2 linked regions of the Schizosaccharomyces pombe genome follow. The protein of the gene in region 1 interacts with the protein of each later gene in a biochemical or structural test. Each region holds a gene or a part of one and is shown in the gene's direction. Other genes may lie near its edges.

The links.
Region 2: the proteins of eso1 (region 1) and pol5 form a complex in vitro, tested with the Schizosaccharomyces pombe proteins (one study listed by BioGRID).

What each region holds. Positions count from the first base shown.
Region 1 is NC_003423.3:4,276,132-4,281,728, reverse strand, and holds eso1 (mitotic cohesin N-acetyltransferase/DNA polymerase eta Eso1 fusion protein), read left to right. Parts: upstream 1-2,075; 5' UTR 2,076-2,137; coding exon 2,138-4,756; 3' UTR 4,757-4,840; downstream 4,841-5,597. Other genes in the region: ale1 (MBOAT family O-acyltransferase), read left to right, coding at 204-1,733; SPOM_SPBC16A3.12C (triglyceride lipase-cholesterol esterase), read right to left, coding at 4,841-4,978, 5,030-5,379, 5,427-5,597. UniProt on the Schizosaccharomyces pombe protein: Probable acetyltransferase required for the establishment of sister chromatid cohesion and couple the processes of cohesion and DNA replication to ensure that only sister chromatids become paired together.
Region 2 is NC_003423.3:2,225,463-2,231,170, reverse strand, and holds pol5 (rRNA processing protein Pol5), read left to right. Parts: upstream 1-2,141; 5' UTR 2,142-2,182; coding exon 2,183-2,380; exon of another isoform or gene 2,381-2,449; coding exon 2,450-5,131; downstream 5,132-5,708. Other genes in the region: SPOM_SPBC14C8.15 (triglyceride lipase-cholesterol esterase), read right to left, coding at 1-682, 738-854, 909-943; SRR1 family protein, DNA-repair associated protein, Srr1, conflicting annotations across species, read right to left, coding at 5,028-5,708. UniProt on the Schizosaccharomyces pombe protein: Plays an important role in the regulation of rRNA transcription. Binds to rDNA promoter fragments.

The sequences.
Region 1 (5,597 bases):
ATAATTTGTGACAAAAGTTGTGCTAGTTCTTTAGACCAGAAATTGTTGGTGTTCATGAGCTAAAACTTCACCAACACCAAACTCTGGGTACAATCTTCACTGTACATTCGTGATTAAAGAATAATCGATTGTTGAGTGTTTAATATCAGTTGTTCAATTCAAAGGCATTCCCAAAGCAGGAGACAGTATTGTCTACATTAACAATGGCTTATCTTATTGATATACCATTTGAATACTTCTCTTCTTTCCTTGGAGTCCACCCGGATCAGCTCAAGTTACTGTTTTGTTTTCTTTCAGCATACCCGTTTGCCGGCATACTAAAAAGACTTCCTTCGGCTCCATGGATTAGAAACTTATTTTCAATAAGCATAGGTTTATTTTATCTCATTGGTGTTCATCATCTTTACGATGGCGTTTTAGTTTTGCTATTTGACGCTTTGTTCACATATTTCGTGGCCGCGTTTTATCGATCGTCACGAATGCCATGGATCATATTTATAGTAATCCTTGGCCATACATTTAGCAGCCATGTTATTCGGTACATTTACCCTTCAGAAAATACTGATATTACTGCTTCACAAATGGTACTATGTATGAAGCTTACAGCGTTTGCCTGGTCTGTTTACGACGGTCGTCTTCCTTCAAGTGAATTATCTTCTTATCAAAAAGACCGCGCGTTGAGAAAGATTCCTAATATCTTGTATTTCCTTGGATACGTATTTTTCTTTCCCTCATTACTTGTTGGTCCAGCTTTTGATTATGTTGATTACGAAAGGTTTATAACCCTTTCTATGTTTAAGCCTTTGGCTGATCCTTATGAAAAACAGATAACACCACACAGTTTGGAACCAGCCTTAGGTCGTTGCTGGCGAGGTCTGTTGTGGCTGATTTTATTTATTACCGGAAGCTCAATCTATCCTTTAAAGTTTCTACTTACACCTAAGTTTGCTTCCTCCCCTATTTTGCTAAAATATGGATACGTTTGCATAACTGCTTTTGTTGCAAGAATGAAATATTATGGCGCATGGGAACTTTCTGACGGTGCATGTATATTGTCAGGCATTGGTTATAATGGCCTGGATTCTTCTAAGCATCCTCGTTGGGATCGAGTGAAGAATATTGACCCTATTAAGTTCGAATTCGCAGATAATATCAAATGTGCTCTTGAGGCTTGGAACATGAATACCAATAAATGGCTTCGAAATTACGTTTATTTGAGAGTTGCAAAGAAGGGAAAGCGTCCAGGGTTCAAAAGTACGCTAAGCACATTCACTGTTAGTGCAATGTGGCATGGAGTTTCTGCTGGATATTATTTGACTTTTGTTTCCGCAGCCTTTATCCAAACAGTTGCAAAATACACGCGTCGCCATGTTCGCCCATTTTTCCTTAAACCAGATATGGAAACTCCTGGGCCTTTTAAGCGAGTCTATGATGTTATTGGTATGGTAGCAACAAACCTCTCTCTCTCCTATCTAATTATCTCTTTCCTTCTTTTGAATCTAAAAGAATCAATACACGTTTGGAAAGAGCTATATTTTATTGTGCATATATATATATTGATAGCTCTGGCTGTGTTCAATTCCCCAATAAGGTCGAAATTAGATAATAAGATACGATCCAGAGTCAACAGCTATAAACTAAAAAGTTACGAACAATCTATGAAATCCACTAGTGATACGGACATGTTAAATATGTCGGTGCCCAAAAGAGAAGATTTTGAAAATGATGAATGAAGGATTAATTTGCTATGAGGTAGCATCATATGCAATAAATTGAAGCATTTGAATATTTTGCAGCTTTGTTAACAGCAATTTCATCTTAATTGTTCATCATATACAATACCTTTCATGGCGGCAGTATATTCATTGTGTTTATATATATGTTTACATATTAAAGTAGTCTCTTAAATAAAATTCCTGAATGTTTTCTCTCAATTCAGTTTTTAAGTTTAACATCTAATTTCCTTTGATGATTTATTTTGGTTACAACATTATGAGAGTTTGAATTTATTTTGCTTTAGTATCTGGTAGTAGGTAACGTTGCTATATCTAGTACCTTAGTCCACTAAATTCAACACGAACGCGCTATAGAACTTGAGCGATTCTTATTAAAGAACTTTTTTGAGGGTATGAACTGAATGGAATTAGGCAAAAGCAAATTCTCTTGGAAGGACTTGCAATATTGTGATAAAGCAGGTACACAAAATTCACCGTTAAGGGTTGTAGCTCATATTGATCAGGATGCTTTTTACGCTCAAGTCGAAAGTGTTCGCCTAGGATTAGACCATTCAGTTCCCCTTGCTGTTCAACAATGGCAAGGGCTTATTGCTGTAAACTACGCAGCCCGTGCAGCGAATATTTCACGCCATGAAACAGTTACTGAAGCAAAAAAGAAATGTCCAGAGCTTTGTACCGCTCATGTAAAAACTTGGAAAGCTGGGGAGTCAGAGGCTAAGTACCATGAAAACCCAAATCCTAACTACTATAAAACCTGTTTAGATCCTTATCGGCACGAAAGCGTTAAGATTCTTAACATCATAAAGAAACATGCGCCTGTGGTTAAGAAGGCTAGTATTGACGAATGTTTTATTGAACTTACGAGTGATGTTAAACGGATTGTGTTGGAGGAATATCCTTACTTGAAAATTCCCTCTGAGGACTCAAATGTTGCTTTGCCGCAGGCTCCAGTGCTACTATGGCCTGCTGAGTTTGGAATGGTCATTGAAGAAGAAGTTGTAGATAGAACGAAAGAAGATTATGAAAGGGATTGGGATGATGTTTTTTTATTTTACGCTGCAAAAATCGTGAAAGAAATTCGCGATGATATATACTTGCAACTCAAATACACGTGCTCAGCAGGAGTTTCTTTTAACCCAATGCTTTCAAAGCTTGTCAGCTCGCGTAATAAACCAAACAAGCAAACTATTTTAACGAAAAATGCAATTCAAGATTATTTAGTGTCATTAAAGATTACTGATATAAGAATGCTGGGCGGAAAATTTGGAGAAGAAATAATTAATTTATTAGGAACAGATTCTATTAAGGATGTTTGGAATATGAGTATGGACTTTTTGATAGATAAGCTTGGTCAAACTAACGGTCCACTCGTTTGGAATTTGTGCCATGGAATTGATAACACTGAGATTACTACACAAGTTCAGATTAAATCAATGTTGTCGGCTAAAAATTTTTCTCAGCAAAAAGTGAAGTCTGAAGAAGATGCAATTAACTGGTTTCAAGTATTCGCATCTGATCTTCGATCACGATTCCTTGAACTTGAAGGAATGAGAAGGCCCAAGACCATTTGTTTGACTGTTGTATCAAGATTTCTGAGAAAGTCAAGGTCAAGTCAAATACCTATGAATGTTGATATTAGCACTCAGTTTATTGTTGAAGCAACATCCAAACTGTTGCGTCAACTGCAACAGGAATTCGATGTATATCCGATTTCAAACTTATCTATTAGCTTTCAAAACATCATAGAGGTTGATCGTAATTCTAGGGGAATTGAGGGTTTTTTAAAAAAGTCCAATGATGAAATCTACATGTCTACTTCTGTTTCACCTTCTATTGAGGGACGCGCTAAATTATTGAACGAAAATATGAGGGAAAATAATTCTTTTGAATTATCTTCGGAAAAAGATATAAAGTCACCTAAAAGGTTGAAAAGAGGTAAAGGTAAAGGGATTTTTGATATGCTACAACAGACCGCTGTTTCTAAACCAACGGAGAATTCAGCTGATGAAACTTACACGTGTGAAGAATGCGAACAGAAAATTACTTTATCCGAAAGAAATGAACATGAAGATTATCATATAGCTCTCTCCATTTCGAGAAAAGAACGCTATAATAACTTAGTACCGCCATCCCATGATAAACCTAAGCAAGTAAAGCCTAAAACATATGGAAGGAAAACCGGTAGCAAGCATTATGCACCTTTATCCGATGAAACAAACAACAAAAGAGCATTTTTGGACGCATTTTTAGGAAACGGTGGAAATCTGACACCAAATTGGAAAAAGCAAACGCCAAAAGCAATTTCCAACAGCTCAGACAACATGACCCAGTTACACTTAGATTTGGCTAATTCCACCGTAACTTGTTCAGAATGTTCTATGGAGTACAATTCAACGAGCGAAGAAGATATTTTGCTTCATTCTAGGTTTCATTCTCGGGTTCTAGGAGGTGTTACTGTGTCCTTTCAATGCTCTCCTATTTATCGCGTTAACTATGGTTTGAGTTCCGATTGCATATACAGCATAAATTCAGAAAGCTCATTAATTGATCAAAGAAAAGCAGAGGAAGCTTTATCTTTCGTAAATAACGAACTTTCAAGTGAGCCTATTGAAACAATTGGGGTAGATAAATATACCACATTTCTATTCATATCAGATAAGAAATGTGTCGGATTACTTCTGGCAGAGCGTATATCTTCTGCATACATAGTCGATGAACTTGAACTCAACAACAACAATAGCACCTCTTCCGCAGTATATATAAAAAACGAAAATCTACGAAAGGGGTTTGTATTGGGTATTTCCAGGATTTGGGTATCAGCTTCAAGACGCAAACAAGGGATAGCAAGTTTACTATTAGACAATGCTTTAAAAAAATTCATTTACGGTTACGTTATATCGCCTGCAGAAGTTGCTTTTAGTCAGCCTAGTGAAAGTGGTAAACAGTTCATTATTTCGTGGCATCGTTCTCGAAACAATGGTTCTTCGAAGTCACTTCGATATGCTGTTTATGAAAGTTGAAAATAGTCTGACAAAATTAAAGTTGTTCTAAATATCTATCTAAGCGTTATATAGAAGTTTTTTTTTTAAATTATTAATTAATCATTAATGAAAACCGTTTTGTTTAACGAAATGTTTGGCTTTGCCTAATGAATGATGCTTAAGGGCATCTATTACAACTGGGAACACTTCCTCTTTAACATCCTGGCCCCATAGAAAGTCAAGATGTTCATAATGAGCAATCTAACTTATATTAGCATATTGAGCAACAAACCTATAAAATAAAAGGCTTACCGAAACTTCCTTTGCATGGGGAGGAAGAGCAGTTCTCATTACTTCCATATTGATCAAAGTATCTTTACCTCCCCATAGTATCAGCATTGGGCATTTGATATTATTCGTAGGAAACAGAGGAACTTGGTAATGGCGTGAACCATATCCAGCTAGAAGAGCCATATCGTCGTCATAAAGCTGGAAAGTACAGTTTTTTATAATCTGAAGCCAGTGAACAACACTCTTTACACTTGAAAAAGAGTAAAGATGTGCATAACCGCAAAGTTTTTGATTAAGAGAAATGTTGGATAGGTCCCAGTTGAATAAAATTTTAAGGGATACATCGACAATTTTTACAAAAATTGGGGGATCTGTAGAGTAAGCAGATGAAGTTGAAATTTAAAAAAAAGAAACATACAACATATATTTTGCCAAAAAGTGACTGAAGGTAAAAGACAACGGCGCCCAAAAAGATGATACATAATTTTTGGATTAACTTTGACAATATAGTCAACGAAGTAATTTGAAAAGCCTTTGGGAGCATAAGCAGGCGCTAACCCTATGAAAATATTTACTTTGTCATTCAAAT
Region 2 (5,708 bases), 2.1 Mb from region 1:
AGCAGAACCAAGCATGGAATTTCGACCGAACATTAGGTAAAGAAGTTGGCTATTAGCGTGAATAATAGATTTAACGGTTCTACCACTATACTTTTTAGGAGCAATTGCAGGAGCTAGAGCAATAAATGCTCGTACGGAATTGCGAAGTTCAGTATCAATAGACAGCGCTGCAAATGCTAATATAGCGCCCTGAGAAAATCCAACAAGGCTTATAGAATCAAAACTGTTAACGGACAGTATATATTTAACAATGGAAGGTATGTCAAAAATAGCGATACTATCAAGACTGAAATCCCAAAACTTTGGATTTTGAGAGCTGAATTTGATATTCTTTATACTATATTTGTTTCCTCGTAAGTTTCCAAGCCAAACATCGTATCCTTGTTCCACAAGAGCAAATGGAATGGCATCTTCCTTTTTCAAGTTGCAGACCCAACTTTCAGAGTTCATCATTAGCCCATGAATAAATAATACAGGTGGGAGATAATTTAACTCTTCAATTTTTCCTTTTTTCTTTTTATACACCCGATGCAAGCCAAGCAAGTAGCCATCAGTTGTACGAACAAAGTGTTCTTCCAGATCATACCCATGAAGTGCACATAAATCGATGGTATCTCTTGCATCAGTTAATTTATTCGCGTTATCATCTACCAACAATTCAGGCAAAAAGTACGAGTATACTCTGCAAACCCCGAGGTTAGTATCAGTGACAATGGTATAAGTAATAGCTGACTCACTTTTTTGATTGCTCATAAAACCAATTCCGAAGTGGACTAGGTAAAATAACTGTACATATTCGAAACATGCTCTCCAACGCAATCAGTAAAAAACTGATTAAAATTTCCCCCTTTTCTCTAAAAACAAATGTTAGAATTTTCGTAAAATAGCAAATACAGAGAGCAACTAACAAGCAATATTTCATTATATTTCCATTCAGAGTCATTTTAGTTTTTTAATTAGCGATAAATTCTCAACTTTTGATAGATTATAACATTTGGATTCATATGGCGTTTGCGTAATTCAACTTGCCTATACTACCATGAGCAGCTTCTAACAAAAAACGGTCGCTTTGTAATTGAAATATTTTACGAGTTTTCGGGTATAATAAGTATTACAGATATATTCAAATATGTTCTTTTAAATTTAATTATTCCCAAAAATCCCCATTGCACTAATTTGTTATGAAAGACATTCAATTCTAGGATTTGTAAGTTAAATGCGAGCAAGATTTAACCAAACAATTTTTGAAAGGTAATCTTAGGAATCAAGAATGTGGCACTTATTGTTCCAAGAACAAACAATTTTTCTAAGGATTATGAAGTTGCACCTTGAGACCGGAATGTTTTATTATCATTTCTTACAAATTACAAAGTTCACAGACTCACGTTTTTTAATGTGATATAAGTGTATAATGAAATCTCTTAGTATTGTCTACAAGCGCCGATTTTATCGGCTGTTTATGTGCTTCAGTTTATGAGTTGAGAGGTTTACAGCAGGCAAAAAAAGATAATGTATACTCGATGCAGTTAAAGATGATGCATATATCGTAATCATTAGAGAAACAAACTTTTAGGGATATGATATGTACCAAATTACTAGTGCTTGAAAGCAAAATTTATTTCACATCCTTCAAAATCAATTCTGTAAAGACTTTTATCATAAAATATTCCCATAATTCGTAGAAACTTGGAAACAAATTGAAGATGTTTGTAACCTTTTAAGATACTCTTGGGACTTTTTTTGAGAACGTTCCCATCTACTTATCACTAGTCTTCGTATGAAAAAGCCGAACTTGTTTGATATTTATACTAAGAAAAAATTTTCGAGGATTTGGTCTTTTCAATGGATTGATTTTATTTCTCACATAATGAAATGCATGTTGATGACTGTATGATTAGTTTAAAAGAGATAAAACTTATTTTAAACAAAAGTAAAGTGCAAATTGTTACACTCGCATTGATGAGAGTCTGTAGCTTCCTTTCGAAAACTTGAAATTTCTATCACTGCTAAACCATGATTTATCAATTTCTTTACCAATTGTTACTTATTCTTCTATTTAGAAAATGAAAAGCTTTTTCATCTTTTGATTTGCATACGTAGCGTTTTCTGTTTTTTTTTCTCTTACTACCGAAGTTTGACTTAGACTCCCCTACAACCTCGATTGTGAGTAGTAGTACCAAACATGGCTACAAAAACACAATTAGAGTTGTTCACTAAGCTTACATCGAATGATAAAGCTATTCGGTTAAGCTCTGCTGCTCAACTCATTGATTCCTTGTCAAACGAAGAAGAATTAAAATATTCGTTAAACCGTTTGACCAAAGGTCTTTCTAGTGGTCGCGAAAGTGCGAGAATTGGATTTGCCGTTGCTTTAACAGAGGTATATACTTTTCCAACTTATTATTTATCTTGTCTTTGCATTTTTTTACTTAAACTAACCAAGAACTAGCTGTTAACTCGCACTAAAGATATTCGAGCTACTCATGTTTTAGATTTGTTGGTTAAGCATAACACTGCTTCTGGGAATCTAAAAGGCCAAGACGAAAGAGATTTTTATTTTGGTTTGCTTTTTGGATTACAGTCAATTGTATATTCTGGCATATTGACGCACAAGGAATCTACAATCGAAGATTTTCAGCGTGTGGTAGACTTACTTTTGCAATTATCTGGGAAGAAAAATTGGCTTCAAGATGTTTGCTTTTACGTGATATATAAATTGGTAGAGCAAATTCCCGAAATTTCCTTCTCTTCTAACGCATTTCTCGCAGTTAACAAACTTTTGCAAACTCCCGCAGTCTCTAAAAGTACTGAGGGTGTAGGTTTGTTTCTTTGCCTTACCCGCGTTCCAGATAATGTTAAATCAGAAGAGGTGGCTATGGCCAATTGGGAACCAGCTCATCCTTTGCATAAATCTAATTTAGTTACTCTTTCCAAGATTATGCGTCAGGCTGATGCTTCAGAAACTGGTGGACAAAACAGCGCTTGGAAACAAAAAATTCCAATGGTTTGGAAATATATTTTCGAGGAATATCAACGCAAGACATACTCGGGTTTGGCACCTTTTCATGATTTTTGGGCCGTTGTCGTGGATGAAGGCATTTTCTCTTCTACTTCTTCACTTGAACGAAAATTTTGGGGCTTTCAAATTATGGAGTTAGCTTTGGATTATGTATCTAGTGATAATATTGGTGATATTTTTTCTAAAAATTTTCTTCATTGTTTGATCAACCATTTGAGCGACGAAGATCGTTATTTGTATCGTGCAGCCAAGCGTGTTACCTCTAAACTCGAAAAAGTCAGTAAGCAGAACCCTACATTGGTCTATCCTATTGCCATTCACTTACTCGGCGAGCGTGGTTCGTTGAATTTTGATCGTGTTACCAATACCAAGTTAGTTGAGCATATCCTTCCCTTAGCTGATGAACAGGGCATTCTCCAACTCTTTCAACTATTGCTCAGTTATGTTAAACGTTGTCCTGAAGATATCGCCTCGGATACGAAAGCTGTAGAATGGAGACGTCAATGGGCGACTGATACTATGCTTAGTATATTACGGAGTAAGCGATCGATTAAACAAGAACCTTGGGTTCGTGAATTACTCGAAATATTCATTGCTTATGGCTACTTTGAGGTACCAGAATCTGAAGAAGTAATACCTAAATTTAGCGAAGGTACTCAAAATATGTTCCGCTTGCGATTGATGTCTGCGTTGAGTTATCTTAGTTCCAGTGCATTCCAACAGTCCCAAACTGATCATCAGTTGGGTGATAAAAATTGGCCTTATGTCGCACTGAATTATTTATTAGAGCTTGAAAAGAGTCCCAAAAATAATCTTCTTATTAGCATGGATGAGTCGGTCATCGAAATTGTACAGAAATCTTTGTCAGTTCTTCACAAAGTGACCAAGAAAATTGATAAAAAAGCACAACATTTGCAACAACTAAACGCCTTTCAACTACTGTACTCATTGGTCCTTCTTCAAGTATATGCTGGCGACACTGATTCAATTGATGTTTTGGAAGATATCGATAATTGCTATTCCAAGGTGTTTAATAAAAAATCGAAGCGAGAAAGCACCTCTAATGAGCCAACAGCTATGGAAATCCTTACTGAGGTTATGTTGTCTTTATTATCTCGACCTTCCTTGTTGCTTCGTAAACTTGTTGATATGTTATTTACCTCATTTTCTGAAGACATGAACCGTGAATCTATTCATTTAATTTGCGATGTTTTGAAAGCTAAAGAAAGTGTAAAAGACAGCGAAGGAATGTTCGCTGGAGAAGAGGTGGAGGAAGATGCTTTTGGCGAGACAGAAATGGATGAGGATGATTTCGAGGAGATAGACACAGATGAAATTGAAGAACAAAGTGATTGGGAAATGATCTCTAATCAAGATGCCTCTGACAACGAGGAGTTGGAGCGTAAACTTGACAAGGTATTAGAAGATGCCGATGCAAAGGTCAAAGACGAGGAAAGTTCTGAGGAGGAGCTGATGAATGATGAGCAAATGCTTGCGCTGGATGAAAAGCTAGCTGAGGTATTTCGAGAGCGCAAAAAAGCATCGAATAAGGAGAAGAAAAAGAACGCCCAAGAAACTAAACAACAAATTGTTCAGTTTAAAGTTAAAGTTATCGATCTTATTGATAACTATTATAAGACTCAACCTAATAACGGACTTGGTTTTGAGTTTTTGATCCCACTTTTGGAAATGATTTTAAAGACGAAGCACAAAGTTTTGGAGGAAAAAGGGCAAGCGGTATTTCGTAATCGCCTTAGCAAGTTAAAATGGACAGAAGAGAAACCTTCATCAAAAAATGTACTGGAAGCACTGAAGAAAGTACATGTATTATGCGGAAAAAAGGCATCACTTGGTTCTACAGGCTCGTCAATTTCGCAACTTCTGTTGAAATTACTAGCTGATACCCCTTACCTGAAAGAAGGTGTTGAAGTTTACCTTAAAAGCTTCCTTCTTTGGATACAAGAGCCCTCGAAGAGTCATTATAATGCAAACATTTTTCATGATTTTATTAACTGGGGTGCTCAGCAACGCTTGAAGCATCAACAAACTTCGACGGCTGCTTCTTCTCCACAAAAGACTGGGCATCATGAAAATGAAAAGACAAATCATTGAATGCATACACATTAGGGAATTCAGGGAATAAAAGTCGGGTATAATAATTTTTGGTACACATTTTGTAGACGTTTGGGTACGTAGAAACAATTTCTTTACTAGGCTTGTTGTCCACATATAGTTGTAAATTGTTGCCGCACATGATAAAATGCCTGGGATCATCATTTACATAGGCAGCTAACCAAGTTTCATATAGTGAAGTAGGGCAGTGTGGCATATAAAGTAGAGTGTATTTTAAGCAGCTGGGTGTTGGTGGGTCTGGCAAAACACAAAACCCTTTATTTTCGAGAAATTCGACATCATCTTTGAGAAATGCTGGATCATAAAATGAACAAAATCTTGGTTGCAAATTAAATATTTTCATAATTTCAAAAAAGAGAGACAACTGTAAAGAAGCTGTTAAAGTGTGTATTCTACCAAGCCCAAGGATAATGCATTTGTGGATAGGATCTTTAAATTCTGATAATTGACTTTGGACACTTTTTAAAAATTCAGAGTACTCTAATTTTTCTCTAGAATTATCTAATTTACGCTGTAAAGTATCTTGTGACCATAAATCTGTATCACCTTGAGTAAT